3 linked regions of the Schizosaccharomyces pombe genome follow. The gene in region 1 interacts genetically with each later gene. Each region holds a gene or a part of one and is shown in the gene's direction. Other genes may lie near its edges.

The links.
Region 2: mutations in dbl2 (region 1) and hip3 impair growth when combined (synthetic growth defect), as found in Schizosaccharomyces pombe (one study listed by BioGRID).
Region 3: of dbl2 (region 1) and rad54, a mutation in one rescues a mutant of the other (synthetic rescue), as found in Schizosaccharomyces pombe (one study listed by BioGRID).

What each region holds. Positions count from the first base shown.
Region 1 is NC_003421.2:308,277-313,479, forward strand, and holds dbl2 (DNA recombination protein Dbl2), read left to right. Parts: upstream 1-2,037; 5' UTR 2,038-2,262; coding exon 2,263-4,410; 3' UTR 4,411-4,619; downstream 4,620-5,203. Other genes in the region: qns1 (glutamine-dependent NAD(+) synthetase), read right to left, coding at 16-132, 177-205; SPOM_SPCC736.02 (uncharacterized protein), read left to right, coding at 4,907-5,203.
Region 2 is NC_003423.3:3,777,328-3,785,064, reverse strand, and holds hip3 (histone chaperone Hip3), read left to right. Parts: upstream 1-1,737; 5' UTR 1,738-2,394; coding exon 2,395-7,287; 3' UTR 7,288-7,405; downstream 7,406-7,737. Other genes in the region: F0-ATPase epsilon subunit Atp15, read left to right, coding at 603-631, 704-878; histone chaperone Hip1, read left to right, coding at 7,715-7,737. UniProt on the Schizosaccharomyces pombe protein: Has a role in a nucleosome assembly pathway that is required for the integrity of heterochromatin and proper chromosome segregation.
Region 3 is NC_003424.3:3,679,860-3,685,300, reverse strand, and holds rad54 (DNA repair protein), read left to right. Parts: upstream 1-2,035; 5' UTR 2,036-2,155; coding exon 2,156-4,714; 3' UTR 4,715-4,941; downstream 4,942-5,441. Other genes in the region: EF-1 alpha-binding zinc finger protein Zpr1, read left to right, coding at 200-1,579. UniProt on the Schizosaccharomyces pombe protein: Plays an essential role in homologous recombination (HR) which is a major pathway for repairing DNA double-strand breaks (DSBs), single-stranded DNA (ssDNA) gaps, and stalled or collapsed replication forks.

The sequences.
Region 1 (5,203 bases):
ATTTCTATTACATACGTGACTTCTAATTCTGGACCAACACGAAGGCTTGCGTTTTGTCTTTTCGCCTCTTTGATGGAATCAATGATGCGTAGACGGTTTCCCTCAAAGTCCATTGCCCACTGGTTCAGCTGACTACAGAAGTTAGATCATTGAGACGAAAAATGATTATAGCATACCAAGATGCGATGGTTACATATCGTTCCATAATGAACTGAATGCTTAACTTGAGGTTTATTCCCAAACAAGTAATTTAACTTATAATGTTTTTTTCGTACTATAAAAGTTCCAACTATGAGTGAAGATCGAAGTTTCTATTCAAATGTCTATTCACGGTTATGGCAGTAAGTAAGAGCAGGAGGTAGTTGTCATAGTAGAGTCAAGTGTAAATAAAGGGTTCGCATCATATAGCAAAAATGCCAGTTTCCCTAAGTAAGAAAAAGAAAATTTAAATAATTTTAAAGACCCTCTCTGATATTAGTAAAAAGAACCTTAATACTTCTTATGCAAATTTTGGCGACTCTTCTAACTACATGTGTATTAATTGTACATTACTACATAGCTTAAAAATTGATTTATAAAATCAGAATAATTGTAATTTTTATTTGATATTGCAATACAAATTCTAGTTTTAGCGATATATCTTCTCAAGTGAAGTCATTTCTGGGACTTCCTTTAATAAAAAAATTTGCCTATCTTTTTCAGATATACGAGCTAATAAATGAAATTTTTTGATTTAAAGTCTGTCTGGTTTTATTAGTGTTACTCGCTTATAATTACAGGTTTTTTGATGATTATAGAGCAAGCTGATATCTGGAATACGCACAACAGTAATTACATTTTTTTAATAGTACAAAATTGTTTTAATTTTATCCTTGAAAATATTTCATGATTTAATTAATATACTTAGTTCTTGGAGCATATAATCGAAATTACTTAGCTTAAAGAAGAAGAAGCAAAGCGACAGATGCCATAATGGTTGATACTCATTTTTTAACTCCCCTTCAGTTACTTCTTGTTGCAAATTATAGACAGATGATTCTTCAGCTGCTCAATAAATTTAATAGTTTTAGTGATTGCAAAGATCAGTCTTCTTTTTTGAAAGGGTATTAATTAGAATTGACAAAAGATTTCAGGTTTATTATTACAATGAAACAACTTTCTTCATCTTCTTGGGCTTTTTTCTCCTAAATTTCGTCCAAGTACTAAATTTTAGGTAAATTTCTATCAGTGCGCTTAAACCAACTTTAATAACTTAATTTGTACCTATCTTCGACATGGTGATGAGAATTGCAAGTTCAAGATTTCGAGCAGAATTACCCTCTATAGGCCTTTTATGTTGCTAAAATTATAACATAAGTACTTTTGCACCTAATCGTATCATCAATCATCTTTGATGAATTTTCTTGCCTGCAAACCTCAAAAGCGATAGAAGAACAAAAGAATCAGTTTTATCTCCAACTGCTATGTTTAGATTCTCTATTATAATGCGACGATAGATACAAATTTACAAGATAAATAATTTTACATTACGAATATTTGAAGCAATCTGCCTCTGTAAGCTCAACTGTAAACTTCATGGTTTAAGGTGAAAAAAGACATCTTTTTTTATATATCATTATGTATACACACAGTCTGTCCCTATGAAACTATCAATCGGGATTATTAACCATTGTTTCCGTTTCTCGATACAGGATATTGAAAATTATCTAACAGTTTTGCTTCCTTGGGCACTAAGAGACCTTTTACTAAAGAAAAACCCATCAAATATTAGACCTTGTAGATTAGTAAAATTAATAAAAATAAGCATCTCTCTTGAAACCATCTCAAGAGATAATCTGCTTCTGCTTGCGTATTATAAAGTTACCTTCAATCATTTCGGCGTGTAAACAAGTACCTCATATCAATAACCAAAAGCTCAACTCGTTTGTAGTTCATAAAGAAAAAGAAAAGAAAAGGAAACCTTGTTTAAGGATTCTACAAAGATGTAATTTTCTGGCTTGAGATCATTTACTTTCCTAGATTTCAACTTTCTGCTGTATACCAACCATTTCCTAACTACCATCCAACAAAAGCACGTAATTCCCATTCCTAAAGCGAGAGCAATTAATGCTCAAATGAGGTTTATACATGAAATAGATATTCTCACTCTTATTCTTTAATTAATTATTAAATAGGGTGGTTTGTGAGTTTTTTTCAACAATATTAAGCTTTTCGTAAGCCACCTTTCGGAACTGCCTTTACAGGCTTTAAAACTTATATTCTATGGATACAAGTTCCAATGTTTTTCATTATCAAGTATTGTGGACGTCTGATAAAGCAAAAAAAGTAAAAGTTTGGAAAGATGGGACAATGCGCTTCCACAGCTTCAATAATCGTGGAATTCTCTACGATTCTGATAACCGAGTCGTAGATGATTTTTTCCTTAACAACAAGAGAATTGTTCTGGATTCTGAAATTGAATTTAATAGAACTATTGTTTACGTTGAGAATTTACAAACAACTACTGAAGCGAATATTCCACCTATACCGAGGAAATCAAAATTGAGTGAGACAGGGAAGAGGCCAGCTTATTTATTAAAACCATTCCAGCCTCCATTTCACTCCGCTAACTCAGATGTATCTAACAATTCAAATGGTGCTTTATCGTCAAATATGTTAAAAACACACGCTCATCATACAAATTCAACAAAATCCACGATCTTCCGGAACGCAAATTTGCAATCTTATGGAGTAGATGACTCAGATATTGGTAGTTTGAGATGTTCAAGTAAGCATCAACTGTCAGTAACACCGGAAATACAACCCAAAGCTAAGTTTAGACCAAACTCATATCTAGCTTCTTCTGTTGAGGAATCTAATCGAGCTAACAATACCTCTCCCTATCCCCCATCTAACTCATCCGTAACTGCGCTACCGAAACCTTCGAAAATTGCATATATCCCTGTTTTGTCAAAACCCAAGTCTTTTAATGGCACCTTGGTTGAAGATCCTGTAGAAGAATTTGGAGAAGACGACATAGCTTCTGACTTTTTTTCTTCCCCTTCTGCCGATCTCGAGGCAGATGATTTTACCACTCTAAATAATTCAAATGCTGGTCATTTGTTACAAAACCTAAGTAATGATAACGTAAGTGTCTCCGTGAAGGCATTAGAAAATGGAAATGAAGAAGTTTCTAATAATCATGCTCGATCTCCTCATTCTTCCCGCGCTTGTAATACCATACCTTCCAACAAAAACGATGGGCTAAATGATGATCATCAAAGACAAGATTCTTCTGTTGCAGAACCCAGTCCTACTTCTAAACGTCTCCGTTTGACTCGCCTTCCGTTACCTCTGCTTCGGAAACCCACGGGGAAACGACAAAACTTTATTAATATCACAGTTACCGACCCCTCAAAAAACTTGTACGAAAGAAGTGTCAAAACTGCTGCCGAGCTGGCATCGCTTCAAAATGTAACAGAAACAACTGATAATGAAATACCAAACTCTCCTGATTTTCTAGATGCAGCATCAGAAGAGGATGAACACATTCCTTCGCTAGATTCGTCATCTCTTTTAACACCTTTGGCTTTGCCCAACAAAAAAGCCTTTCAACCCGTGAAGTTTCGTGTACCGTCTTTTTCATCTCCTTTAGTTAAACCAGCATCTTCGTCCTCGTTTGGTAGGAGTCACTCTCACTTAGGCACGTCCCTTCGCTCAAACGAACTTAATGGATCTAGTGCTTCTTCTTCAATCTTTCTACAATCCAACAATGCAGTCAATCCTAACGTTTCACCTTCTACTGTGCTTGAACATGCCAAACATCCTTCCTTGGCCAAACATTCAGGTGTATCGCTGAGAACAGGCTTGTTGATATATCCTAAATATGCAAATGGTTCGAAAAGAAAAGACGGTTTTGGAGCTACTTCTATAATATCTTCAGGGGAACATTCGTCGTTGCCTAAAAACTCGAAATCCAGAAATGTGTCGGTATTTTCTAGCCCTTTTAATGTCCCTTCGTTTACTGTTTCTTCTTCGGACCAAGTCCAAAAGAAAAAAGGAAATGTTCCTAATGCTATTGAAACGGACTCTTCTCCTTCGGATACCATTTCATCCTCGCCTACTGTTCGAGCTGTAAATCTCTCACCCAGCAAAAACCAAAAGCCTCCGAAAATACTTACCAAAATTCCGGATATTTTTTCTAAAGCGGGAAAGAAATCTCCTATTTTACCAACTTTTCAAGAGTCTTGTTCGTTACCTATTGAGCCTTTTTCGTCAAACATTACGGATTTGCCATTTGTAAATACAGTAACACTTGCTTCAACGAGTAGCAAGATCAAAAGGGCAAAGTTAAAAATGCTAAAATTTAAGCATGCCATGACTACACAAGGACGCGATCTCGATTCGGACGAAGATGGTGACTTTATTTGAAATTAATTTTTCTTTCGTACGTTGAAACTTCTCTCTCAAGCCGACTTTGTTACATATAATTTTTAATTCAAAAAACAGTACTGAATTTTGATTTCTGGTTTCCTTCATGTATTATTATCAACATTTATTTTTCCATAGTTCATTTAGGTTTTAGCTATACTTATTTAGCTCTTTTACATATAATTAATTTTTTTTTTTTAAACATTAGATTTCAGCTTGTTTTTGGTGTTGTTAGTACAATTCTAGGTTTTGATTTTCATTTTTTAGTAGCACATACATTGCTTTTTCAAAACCTTGAGTTTCTTCTTTGAACCTTTGAGCAAATAAGTATCAGATTTATTCTTTTCTTTTAAAAAACCAACTATTTGGGTTATTATGAAAATGTTGTAAATATTTTAAGTTAAATTATCTTTTGTAGTCATTTATTTTCTATACATGTTTAAATTTTTCAGCACTAAATAGTGTCTGTTGGTGAGCTCCAAAAATCTTGTTAAAGATGGGTAAAAAGCGAAAACAGACCATAAAAAATGACTATAATGAAAAAATTACGAAAAGAAAGGTCAAAAATAATTTGACTGATGGAAAAGCTAGAGCGTTAACGGTTTTTGAGTCTTTACCTTTAGAAGTTTTAAGATTAATATTTTTGTTATCCAATAATTCGAATTTGGCAGTGACTTCTCGTAGTTTGAGACACCGATTATCTTTAAGGAATAATACGCCTATCTTCATGCCTATTGATTTTACTCTTTCAATGGTACCCAAAAGCATCATTCTCTCTATTCAACGTGGATTG
Region 2 (7,737 bases), on another chromosome or scaffold:
GAAATTTATGCTTAAGCCATTCATGTTAACGCTCATCAAGAAAGCTAATTTGACTAAATACAATCAATGGAGAGTGCTAGTATACATTGCTTGTTTTAACTGACATTTTTAAATTAACTACGATAAGTGTTAAGATTAAACAAAGTGAGAAACGTAACAGTGCTTAAGTTCAGTTTTCTTGCGAATGTATTGAATTACTTTCACTTGCCCAGCTAGTAAACAATTAAGGCTTTGGTACCGCTTTGTCCTTCTAATAAATTATGGTTAGTAGCGAAAATAACCAGCCTTTTGACTGATGAGAGGTATATATTCATTTGTCAATTCAAATTAATACGGCCTTTTGAATATTTATTTACTGAATAGTGTTGATTAATAAAAAGGCAATCTGTATAGCGATGAATCGTTAGCATCACCAAAGTCATTTTAATCAAACTGCGCTATATTTTACTAAGAAAAGCACGTTACCAATGTTAGATTAACGAATGTACATATTGAACTCAATAAATGTGTCCGACCCTTACCGAACGGGGTTTCAAGAGAGTGTCATGGATTTTAAGTTACCGTTCCCCCATCTCTGTACGATTTAGCAATTCATTGAGAAAATGGCTTTTGCTTGGAAGAAAAACTTTAGGTATGGATTCATTTCTTGAATGTGAACATTAAATATACCCTGATAGTTTTACTAATGAATGAATATTTGTAGTTATAGCAAATATGCTTCTATTTGTTCCCAAACTGTTCGTCAAGCCTTAAAACCGGAAATTAAAAACGAGGTTAAAACTCATGGTGATGCAGAGTTCCTTTATACTCGATGGAAAAATGGCGCTCAGGAAAAAACGGAGTCTTACAATTCGGCAAAGTCTGCTGATAAGGAATGAAAATAAAGGCTACAAACGAATTTTTTGTCCTTCATTACCCATTGGTAATATTTCAGCTTCATTTGATGTTTCACTCATTTCAACAGATATCACTGATGGTTTACAATCTCTTATAATGATTACTATATTCGACTTAACGTTGAATTACTAACTGATCCTTTCAATAAATTTTTATTACTTTTTTTAATGATGAAGTTTAATAGAACAAGGTAGTTTGCTCTGTTTTCTTAAAACTGTTGAGAATGGCACTTCAAATCATTGTGGTTGCTCTGTATTTTCGATCAAATCTATAATCGGCCTTTGTCTCAAAACCAAAAATTGTTGATTTTACTATAATGAGATGTAGCTAATTTAGAAGTAAGTGAGTTTTGTCACTAATATCATTCATTAACGTAGTTTTTGTTTTTGCTACTACCGAGATCATTTATAGTCGCATTACACAGTAAACTTACTACAATACTATGTTCTTAATTGTTTGTATCGTTATCTAGTTTCTAAAAAATGGCTTCAACGTCGAACAAAATTGCTTGTTCTACTGTTTTCAAACAATCATGCAAACTCACCCATTAAAAAATTTTTAATTGTATGAATACAATTTTAGAGCCCGAATGAAAGAAACAGGGTATACATACGAAATCGCATTACATTCAAAACAAACTCCACTTGATGCCTTGTACTCTTTCTCTTCTTGCAAGGATATAGTGTATCGTTTAACTTCGCTATTTAGTGACTACTTGGGTCTCTAGATATGCCACTAAAGACGTGTTTGAGACCTGTCTGCACCTGTCTATGTTGGCGTTTGTAGTCGAAGGCAACGTGCGGTATTAACGATGCAGAAAATCAACACACTCTTCTTTTTGAAAACCACGAACTAAATACGTTACACAGCAAAGACAAAAGTCACCACTTACGCTTTCTTAACGACATCAAAGAAATTACTAAACTACTTTGATAAAGTCTGTAGTAAGAGAAGAGTTACAAAACAATATCCTTATGATAAACATCCCTTAAAACTATAAAAGTTTGCTTTTGATTGCAATTCATAATCTGTTCCTACTTAAAAAAGTAGTCGTCACCCAAGTTCAAAAGTTTGTTCAGTGCATCAAAACATTAAAGAACCAGCCTTAAATTGCCTTGGGAATTAGTGAATTCATACCGATTTTATGACTTAATATAAACATCTGTAAACGCACTGATTGATTTCCTGAGGTTTTGTTTGCGTTGGGAGTTTTTAATTTTTTTTTTGTTATTAGCACTTATTTTAATTATCTTTGCTTTTTGAAGGTGTGTAGAGAGCTGAAATCTGAATTTAGGACGCTCAATAGCTTGATCTTCCAATGCAGGCTTATTGCTCAATGCTTTTGCGGAGTATAGTATTGAAAACCACAGTTGTTTGACGCTTTTTGTAATACATCGCTTCCTTTATCTACAACTTTAACATCTTATCTACATACTTTTTTCAATTTCTGGTTACAGTTTTATACAGTGATCAATTTGGAAGTCTCATATTAAGGTTATGGCAACGTTTACTCCTCTAAATGCGGCCAGTGAAGATCTGGATAAGGAAAAACGCACTTTAGAAATCCGAATTGAAGAAGCTGTTCAAATATATCAAAATGCACTTTCAGCCCAGAAGCAGGGAGATGACAATGCTGCTACAAAGTATTACGATGAGCTATTGAATGTTCGAATTCTTCGCGAACTCCCTTTTACCGTTAATTCTAATTATAAAAAAAATAATGCTTTATTGCTACTACATTACCTCACTAGAAAAAATCATGGTTTGTTTTTGCTGTCAAAGCTACAATCTTTATTATCCTTAGATCCTTCAACCGATCCCATCCCTGTGTATCGGGACGCCCTGCTCGATTTTGCTATTGCATTGGCTTGCGATTACAATGACATAGAACTTTGGTCTTTTGTTGCCGAGTTAGCTGAAAAATTGGAAATGCCAAGAATTCAAAGATTTGCTTTAGAGTCATCATTTTATACCGGCTACGAACCCTTTGACGCGGAGAGAGTATTTACGAATATTGATGATTTAAATCCTGGGAAGCTTATCTCTCTACAAAACCTATACAATTTGTTAAAAAAGTTAGGCGGTATAGCAGAACCCTTACCGCAATTGGATTTGTCGATTAGTTCTCTTTATACTTTGCCTTCTTTTTTTCCTCAATTACCCACTCCTTCATTTCATCGAAGGTCCATAAACTTATGCCCGAAAATAAAAAAACTTCAACTATCTCATGACACTCTTCATGGTTTTTTAGATCTTGTTCTATATGCATTACAGATAAATGAAAAAAAAACCCCGACTCGTGGTTTTCCTTCGACATTAATTATTCATGTTCATTCCCTGAATTTGAGCACCGCAGAATCGCATGATTTGGAATCCACTGATTCAGAATTATGGTCTGAAATTTCAGATGCAGGGCCCGATACTAATACTATTAATACAGCTGCAAAATTGTCTGAACCTGTTTATGCCAAGGACATTGTTCCACCTCCTTCGGATAATTTGCCTAAACCCCAACTCCTTAAGAGGCCGATAGATGATTCCGATGTACGCATTAGTAAAAGATCTCGTGGTAGAGACTTACGAACGCCTTCAGAGTCGAACTTGTTTTCTTTGATTGCAAGCATAACTTCGGATATTAATGAGCAAATCCAAAAAAGATTTCCTGACGCAACTTCCCCGTTTTCAGGTGAATCTATGTTTCGAGAATATAGTTCCATATTTGAAGACTATCATCAATTACTAGTTAATTTTCCTAGCGAAGGCAGTATTCCGGACCTAGATGTTTCGACCGACTCAGCAGCTAACGGAGCTTTCTCCAAAATGATTCTTATTGATTTAGCTATGCATAGTGCTAATAGACTTGAGCATATGCAGGTCCCGGATGGTTATCTTCTTCAATTATTAAGTGAAGTAAATAGTCTCAATATGGTTCCCGCTGAGCTTGCTACATTCTTTGTTGAGAGTATGTTAAGGCCTCGAAAATTAGAGCCTCCATTCTATTTGCAGCAATGTTGGGGGAAAATATTTAAAAAGAAATTTACTACAATTTGTGAGAGAATTGAAAGCACTCTTCACGAACTGGTGAAGGCAAGCTTACAAACCCCTGAAGTTTTTAATATTTCACAATCGCTTTTTGAACTGTTTTTAGACGATTACTTTTTAGCGCTCAAGTTTAGCTCCAATGATCAAAAAGACGATAATGTTTCTGAAATACCAACTGAGTCATTGGAATATAAAAAATTACGTTGCTTACGTTGGAAATCTCTTACTGAACAAGTAGTCGAATTGCAGCCGTCTTGTAAAAGTTCTAGCCAAAGACATTTGATAATTAGAAACTCATGGGCTCGAAACTTATTGTTACGGTTAACTGGTTGTTCTAGTGAGGCTATAGTTGAAAATTTCAAACAGTTGCGTTGTCTTTTGCAAGAAAACAGTGATTCTCTTGAACTTTTAAACAGTCAATGCATGGCAGATTTGAGCGTTCAGGTTGTCGATTTTGAACTTTCCAAATTACAAACCGTTGAGTTTTTTAATACTTTATTTATGAATACCAAAAACTTGGACTTTAATGCCGTTATAAAAAATTTGGAACCCGTCCTTTCTCCTGAAAACAAATTTGCAGAAGATCCTCAAGCAAAATTTATTTCTCAATTTTTGGAAAAGACTTCTACTGAATTTCAAATACACTTATGGTATTTACTGTATCAGGCTTATAGCTCAGCACATAGACCTTATAATTCGTTGTTGTGTGCCTTTCAATCGCTAAAAATTATTTTAATTAGGCTTTGTTCTTCGTCATTCAGTATTCAAGATGCCGGTCGCCGTCAGGCTGAACTACTCGGCATGCTTAATTTTTCTTCAAATTTATTCAGGATTATTTGGCAAAAATTACATGAGCAACCTGATATATTGTCTCCCTGTAACGAGATGACTGTCATTGATTGCATTAGAATTATCCTTATATACTTGCGCACTTTTGCTATTTATGTTGGAATAGATGAGGACATTTCGGATCAAAGGATTCCAAAACCTTCAAACCCTGAGTTTGATTCTTATGCTCAAACGGTAAAAGATTCTTTGATGAGTGGTTGGTGCATATTTTACACTCTGTTTGCGCATTTACTTCATTACGATTTTATTAAAGCTGATGCTCAAAAGTTATTACCTCAAATCCTTACCGCAATACATAGCCAATATTCCTTTAGAGGTTATTGTTCGAGCTCTAATCAATCATTTTTAGAACTCTCTCAAACTGAATGCCAACGATTAGATGCTTGGGAAAACGAAAATGAAATTTTACAATGCGTTTGTTGTCGCTTTAACCTAATTATTGGCAGCGAGTACTATGTTCCACAATCTCATCAGTCAGATTCTGTTAATTTGACTTCAAATGATGCCATAAAGATAATACCTTTCATACTCGGCTTTGCTGTCAAACGGTCGCATGGCTGGGTAATGCCTCGTTCTGATCAAAAAAACGCATTAGAAATAATTTGTAAGGTAATTAGGTTTCCTGGTGAAAATAATGCTGACGTTTATTTCAACAAATGTGCAATTAAAGAATTTTTGGAAAGAGATATATCTCCACAACTTACCAAAATGTTACTAAAGTCCAATGACATCCTTGGTTTACGCGAAATTGGTAGCAAGGTTGTGGATGATCGTGTTAGGGGGCTCTACTATGCTCAATCTCAAGTACTGTTTGGATATTATCGCTCTAGACTGAAAGGTAGTAGATGCATTAACGATTTACTTGTGATCATCAAGTATTTTCTTCTTGACTTGTACCTTAATCCACGTCGACAAGATTCATGGTATACTTGTTCCTCCGTATTTTCTTCATTAGCAGATGAAGAGCTTGGCTGGAGTGCAGAGCAAATCTGCCTCGCAGACGATGTCATCAACGAGTATAGGAGAAAAGCCATCCTTTGTAACTTAATGGCCTTATCGTTGCCATTCACTCAGGACAAATTATTTAAGGCAAACGTCTATTTTGATTTTGCTATGAACCTTTATGCATCCGCTCGACCTCCTTTAGAGATGGCGGCTTTTCTTCCCAGTGAAACCCGTGTTTTTAGTGGGGCTTCGGGTCTTTATAATTTATCAATGAAGCCAATTGAAGTATCAAAAGTTATAGCTTTGGCTGCTGACTATTTTGGCATGTCTGCTGAATTAAGTAATGATTGGAGAGCTTTGTACATGCTAGGCAAAGCATGCCGTAAATGTGGTGATATGGAGAATGCTTTGGTCCATTTTGAGGCTGCTGCTGCGTTGGCTCCTACTAAATCAGGTAGTGGTTCCCAGCAAGCATTGCTTATTGAGCCACATTATGCCTTACTTTCCAATTTGAGCAAGGCTGCTATAGAAGGTTCAGTGGAAATCGTTCAAATTCTTTCATATTTACGACGTATCCGACATCCTCCTAAAGATTCAGGAAGCCTTTTGGAAGTCAAAAACGAAGACGTAAACATTTACAAAAGGAATGCTTTACTATTTATACTAAAGGCGTTAGCAGAGATGCGTATTTTGGATAAACAATCTTGGCACCATCGACCAACTTATCGCATTGCTAAAATCATGGAGCATTTAGGTAATGTTCAACAAGCAAAGGAAGAAATGGAAACTTTATTCTCATACAAAACTAGCGGGAAATCGCTATTGAACATTTGGAGGACTCCTAATGAAAGACCTGGACGGCATTTTTATTACGGTGCTACCTATTCAAGATATCTACTCTCCCTTTTTTACAAAACCAACGACAAGGTAAACTTTTTGCAGTTTTTAAAAAGATTTCGTCGTTCATCCTCCACTATTTATGAACACCGTCAAATTTGGCTGGACATAATGATCAAGTACCTTGAAGACTTGAGACTTCAGCACTCCGTAAAAGAGACTCAGATTAATGATTTACCACTTGTGGAATTTAAATATGTCTACAAAGAAATAAGTTTATTAGATGAACAAAAGTTGAGCCTTCTTCATCAAGTATATGAAATCAGGAAACTGAACAATGGCCTATATCCAACAATTAAGGTCGATGATTTTCTTATTGACTGTTTCATGAGCCTTTATAACGAAGTGAAGTCTTCGATCTCCCCTTTAGATGCCAATATTCCGAACTCACCCAGTACGATCACGGCCAAACCTCTGAATGACGAGAAGGCTATTAATAATGAAAATTCTGTAAAACAAAAAACTGTTATTACAAGGAAGGACGTGGTTTCTAAAGTATTAGCACTGTTTAGACCTCATAGAGAAACTTACTATCGTGAAACCCAGAACAAAATATTGCAAAAGTTGGCTTCCACTTCATCCTCATTGGTAAGATCGTTTACTGAAGATTCCTCACAGGCAGGTGAAAGTCCAGGTATACATGAAGAAATTCAATGAACCTATGTGCCTTAACCTCCATAAGGATTTCGCTACATAAATTTAAGACAGAAGCTCCTTCTATTGTTTTTAGTTACTAAAAAATTGAAGCTTTTTTTGTCATATAATGAAAGCTGGCATGTAGATTTTTTGTATCGTGCATTGAAGTGTTTGCAGTCAATAGTGCTAATTTCAACAAAGCATAAAATCCTATTGTAAAAAAAAAAAAAAAAAAAAAAAAAAAAAAAAAGGTATCTACTGTACTATTAAAGATGCTCAGACTATCTTTCTGTCCTAGTAAAATAACTTGTAAGCACCATAGCCCATTCCATTTAAGAGCTTATAAAAGTTTAGACTTCATTTTACGACCACACTTCACAAGACTCCTTCGCACAAATCCCCCCTTTTTTTTTTAATAATAATATTCAAAAACAATATTTATTAATAAATGAAAATTAAAAAAATTCCATG
Region 3 (5,441 bases), on another chromosome or scaffold:
TAAAAAAGTAAAATTTTTGCATTTTACCATATTTTACTTTAGTTTTAATTTTGTTTTTCATTAAAGACAGTTTATATTGGGTCATTAAGGAAAATTTTTTCCATTCAAGTGAAGACAAATTTTATATTGGTACAAGTTATTCTGTACTTGTCCTTAAACACATCTAATCAAAATAACGCTAAAAAGAAAATTTGAGAGCATGGCGGAAGAAAAAAAGGAAGAATTGTTCACAAGTATTGGCAATGCTGCACAAAATGTGTCAACAGCTGAGGATAGGGAAGGAAATGGTGTTCAAGAAGTCGAATCGTTGTGTATGGAGTGTGGAAAAAACGGTACTACTAAATTATTGTTGACGGTCATTCCATACTTCCGTGAGGTTGTTTTAATGTCGTTTGAATGTCCTCATTGTGGGTTTAAGAATGCGCAAGTTCAACACGCTGAGACAATTCAACCGGAAGGAAGCAAAATTACTTTCCATGTTGAGGATAAGGAAGATTTAAATCGGACAGTTGTAAAGAGCCAGGAGGCTATTGTCAGTATTCCTGAAATTCAGCTAGAAATCCCGGGAAGGTTAGGCCAGTTAACTACCATTGAGGGGATTCTGAGTAATGTGGTGGATGATTTAAGTAAAGAACAAGAATCTCGTAAGGAGTCTGCTCCTCAGTTATATGACCAAATAAATGCTTTCATTGAGAAAGTGAATAGTCTACGTTCTGGATCTGTACCATTTACCATCACAGTTGACGATATTACGGGCAACAGCTGGATCGAGATGAAACCTGGCCGAGATGGTGACCGATGGTCTCAGGTTAGCTACAAGCGTACTTTGGAGCAGAATACGAAGCTGGGTCTTGTGGATACTGATCAACCTGAAGACGTCAAGACACAAACAAACAACGCTTCTAATACACTTAAACATGATGCTACTGCTGTGGAAGTCGATCCCAATGAGGTACATACCTTCCATGCAACTTGTCCCTCTTGTTCACATCAATGTGACACCCACATGAAGTTGCTTGATATTCCCCATTTCAAAGAAGTTATTATCATGTCTACTGTTTGTGATCGTTGTGGATATCGTTCCAACGAAGTAAAAACTGGTGGTGAAATTCCACCCAAAGGTCGAAAAATTACTTTAAAGGTCATGGATGCCGAGGACTTATCCCGTGATATTCTCAAATCTGAAACCGCATCTCTTAAAATTCCTGAACTTGGACTTGATTTGTTCCCAGGTACTTTGGGTGGACGATTCACAACCATTGAAGGTCTTCTAGCTCAAGTTTATGATGAGTTATATGGCCGTGTGTTTTCTCAGGAGACCGATTCTATGACTCCTGAGCAAGTCGCTAACTGGCAACAATTTCTCTGCAACTTGACGGCTGCACGTGAGGGTGCTACTCAATTCACTCTTATTTTAGATGATCCTCTTTCACAAAGTTATCTGCAGAATTATTACGCTCCCGATCCAGATCCAAATATGACTATTGAGGAGTATGAACGTTCATTCCAAGTAAATGAGGAATTGGGTCTGAACGATATGAAGACAGAAAACTATGAAAAGGATGGAGGTAAGAAGTAAAGTTCGAGGTTTTTGTCAAATGTTAGGGAATGTATTTAATATAGTAATACTATGTTTTTTTGGGGGGTTTATTGACTATGAAGATATAATAGTATAGTAGATTAGCTAATTTTTATTTCCCGTAATGTTTTTGTTAGAGACTGATGCTTTATTATTTTACTTTTAGTTTAAAATAGTTACTTGATTTATCGCAAATGTTATGAGGCTAATAATTCGAAGTATTAGTAAACCATAAAATTTGCTACAAGAAATGTTAGATAGTGAAGCTAAAATTATTACCAATAACAAACTTGTAACACATATTTAGCCGATACCAGAAATAATTGATTCATATTTCACAATTTCATTATTTGTATACCATGTTTAGTGAAGGGTAACAATGGTGCGTAATTTAAAGAACGCGACACGCTATAATAGTAATAGAATTTAATTTATATATACATCTAGATATTTCTCAACACATACCATTGGTATAAACAGCACTTTCCTTTTTTTTTTGTTTGAATCCTTATCCCTCTTTTCCTACCCTTTCTTCTATTTCAGTAATCTCTTTTTTAATAATTGCTAATATATTTAATGATTCAGCAACCAACAACTGCTAAACCTAGAATTTCTACTTCTTCAAAGTTAAATACTGTTTTATCAAAAAACAAAGAGAATGTTCCTGGAAAGTTGTTTAAAAAGTTTAAATGCCCTTCTTTAGTGATTTCAGAAAAGCGAAAAGAGCTTCCTTTACGCAAAAAGCCAAGAGTTAACTACAGCGAATATGGTTCTGTTGATGGGAAGTATGATTCAGCTTACGTATCTGAAAATGTGTCTGGGTTGGCAACCATCAAAGAAGCTAATCGATTAATACTAAATCATGAACGACGAGATCCCTCAACAGTCATTAAGAAACAGTTCTCTGTGCCTAAACCTATCAAGGGTCATGAAGATATATCTAAACTGTGTGCACATCGTCCACCTCCTACACTGGGAATGAAAAGGAAGGTGGATTTTATTCCTCGTCCCCTTTACGATCCTGCTGATGAATTTGCTATCGTTTTATATGATCCCACTACTGATGCAGATGAGATCATTCCTGATATAAAAGAGGTCTTAGCGGAAAAACGTAAAAAAGATGAATTGTTAAAAAATCGAAAAGGAAAGAAAGAAATTTCTGATAGTGAGCCTGAAAGTGACCATGATTCATGTGTCTCCACTGACACAGTGGCTAGCTGTTCTACCGAGCAAAGTCTCATAACCTCTAATACCTCAAAGCATAGAAGACCAAATAAAAGTTTGAAAGATCTACTAGGAATTCAGAAAGAAAAACCTCCACCTCCTCCTGTTGCTGTTGTCATTGATCCAAAACTTGCTCGTATTCTAAGACCTCATCAAATAGAAGGTGTCAAATTCTTGTACAAGTGTGTAACTGGAAGGATTGACCGTTGTGCAAATGGATGTATTATGGCAGATGAGATGGGACTTGGTAAGACACTTCAATGTATTGCTTTGTTATGGACCCTTTTAAAACAGTCTCCTCAGGCTGGAAAACCGACAATTGAAAAGGCAATTATAACTTGTCCTTCTTCTTTAGTCAAAAATTGGGCTAATGAACTTGTCAAATGGTTAGGAAAAGATGCTATTACTCCATTCATATTGGACGGTAAAAGCTCCAAACAGGAGTTAATCATGGCTTTGCAACAATGGGCATCCGTACATGGACGACAAGTCACACGTCCAGTGCTTATTGCCAGTTATGAAACCCTTAGAAGTTATGTTGAGCATCTCAACAACGCAGAAATTGGAATGCTTCTTTGTGACGAAGGTCATCGTCTTAAGAATAGTGATTCTTTGACTTTTACGGCATTAGACAAGCTAAACGTTCAAAGGCGTGTCATCCTTTCTGGTACCCCTATTCAAAATGATCTAAGCGAATACTTTTCGTTGTTAAATTTTGCGAATCCTGGGTTGTTAGGTTCAAGGCAAGAGTTCAGAAAAAATTATGAAATTCCAATTTTAAAAGGTCGTGATGCTGACGGAACAGAAAAAGATAAGGAGAATGGTGATGCTAAGTTAGCTGAGTTAGCCAAGATTGTCAATCGGTTTATTATTCGTCGTACGAATGATATTCTCTCCAAATATTTGCCTGTTAAATACGAACATGTTGTCTTTTGCAACCTTTCCGAATTTCAGCTTTCTTTGTACAAGCATTTTATTACCTCGCCTGAAATCAATAAAATCTTAAGGGGGACCGGCAGTCAACCACTAAAAGCTATAGGTCTGCTAAAAAAAATATGTAATCATCCTGATCTATTGAATTTAACTGAGGACTTGGAAGGTTGTGAGGCTCTATTCCCTCCAGGATTTATTCCCCGTGAGCTAAGAGGGCGCGATAGAAACATTGACTCCTCTTTATCAGGTAAAATGTTAGTGTTGGAACGAATGCTCTATCAAATAAAACAAGAGACAGACGATAAAATTGTTTTAATTAGCAATTACACCTCCACGCTTGACTTGTTTGAGCAGCTTTGTAGAGCTCGCGGTTACAAGGCTCTTCGGCTAGATGGTACTATGAATGTAAATAAACGACAACGTTTAGTTGACACATTCAATGACCCGGAAAAGGATGCTTTTGTGTTTTTATTATCTTCTAAAGCAGGTGGTTGTGGTATTAACCTTATTGGCGCTAATCGTCTTATTCTGTTTGATCCCGATTGGAATCCAGCCGCCGATCAACAAGCTTTAGCTCGAGTTTGGCGTGATGGGCAAAAGAAGGACTGCTTTGTTTACCGTTTCATAGCTACTGGAACCATCGAAGAAAAGATATTCCAAAGGCAGTCTCATAAGCAATCTTTGTCTTCTTGTGTTGTGGATGAAGCTCAAGATGTCGAAAGACATTTTTCGCTTGATAACTTAAGGCAGCTGTTTCAGCTTAACGATCACACAGTCTGTGAAACTCATGAAACATATAAATGTAAACGGTGTCGTGATGGAAAACAATTCATCCGAGCCCCAGCCATGTTATACGGTGATACTAGCACATGGAATCATTTTACAAATCCCACATTAGACCGAATAGAAGATCACTTGCTAAAACGTGAGGCAGGAAAACAGCAAGTGAGTACCGTTTTCCAATACAAATCTCATTAATTTTTACGTGTTTAATTACGCTGCTCTCTTCACAAATCCTCATATTTTCATTTAGTTTGATTTGTCTTTAAACTACTCTCACCTCTCTTTATCCCTGTTTGATTTGCTATTCGATGCATAAAACAATATCATGAATTTAATTCCGGTTTTTAAAATATAGTTTTTAATTTAATTAATATCCAACCCTCAATTGTATCCTACCAAACCTCAATTACTCCTTGGTAAGCTTTGTGACAAAATTATTACGAATTTACAGGTATGCTGAAATAAATTTTTTTTTTTAGAATGTTATATTCAATTGTTAAGAGCATATAATTTGTCATATTTTTCTGAAACATTTGAAATTGCATTTGTTAGTATTCGAACCCGTGACAGTTTTAGCACTGCTTTTCTATATTAAGATTGGGATGTCTCGAATTTTTGTTATTAACCATGTAGCTACTTTTAGGCAAACTGCATACATCTTATATGCTTTTTGTCACTCTAATAGCTTATATAAACATTGCTTATGTCTAAATACTTTGGACGTTCAAACTCGTGAATGTTCCAATATAGGTAGAAGCTTACATAACCAATTATTTATTTAAGGGTTGTTTCATTTGCAATCTTATATATTACTTCTAAATATTATATATGCATATTTACTTAACAAAAATAGTAACATTCAATAGTAGTTAGACCCGGATTATAAAGCCAATCGACAAATATCAAGTTTGCTGGCAACGGA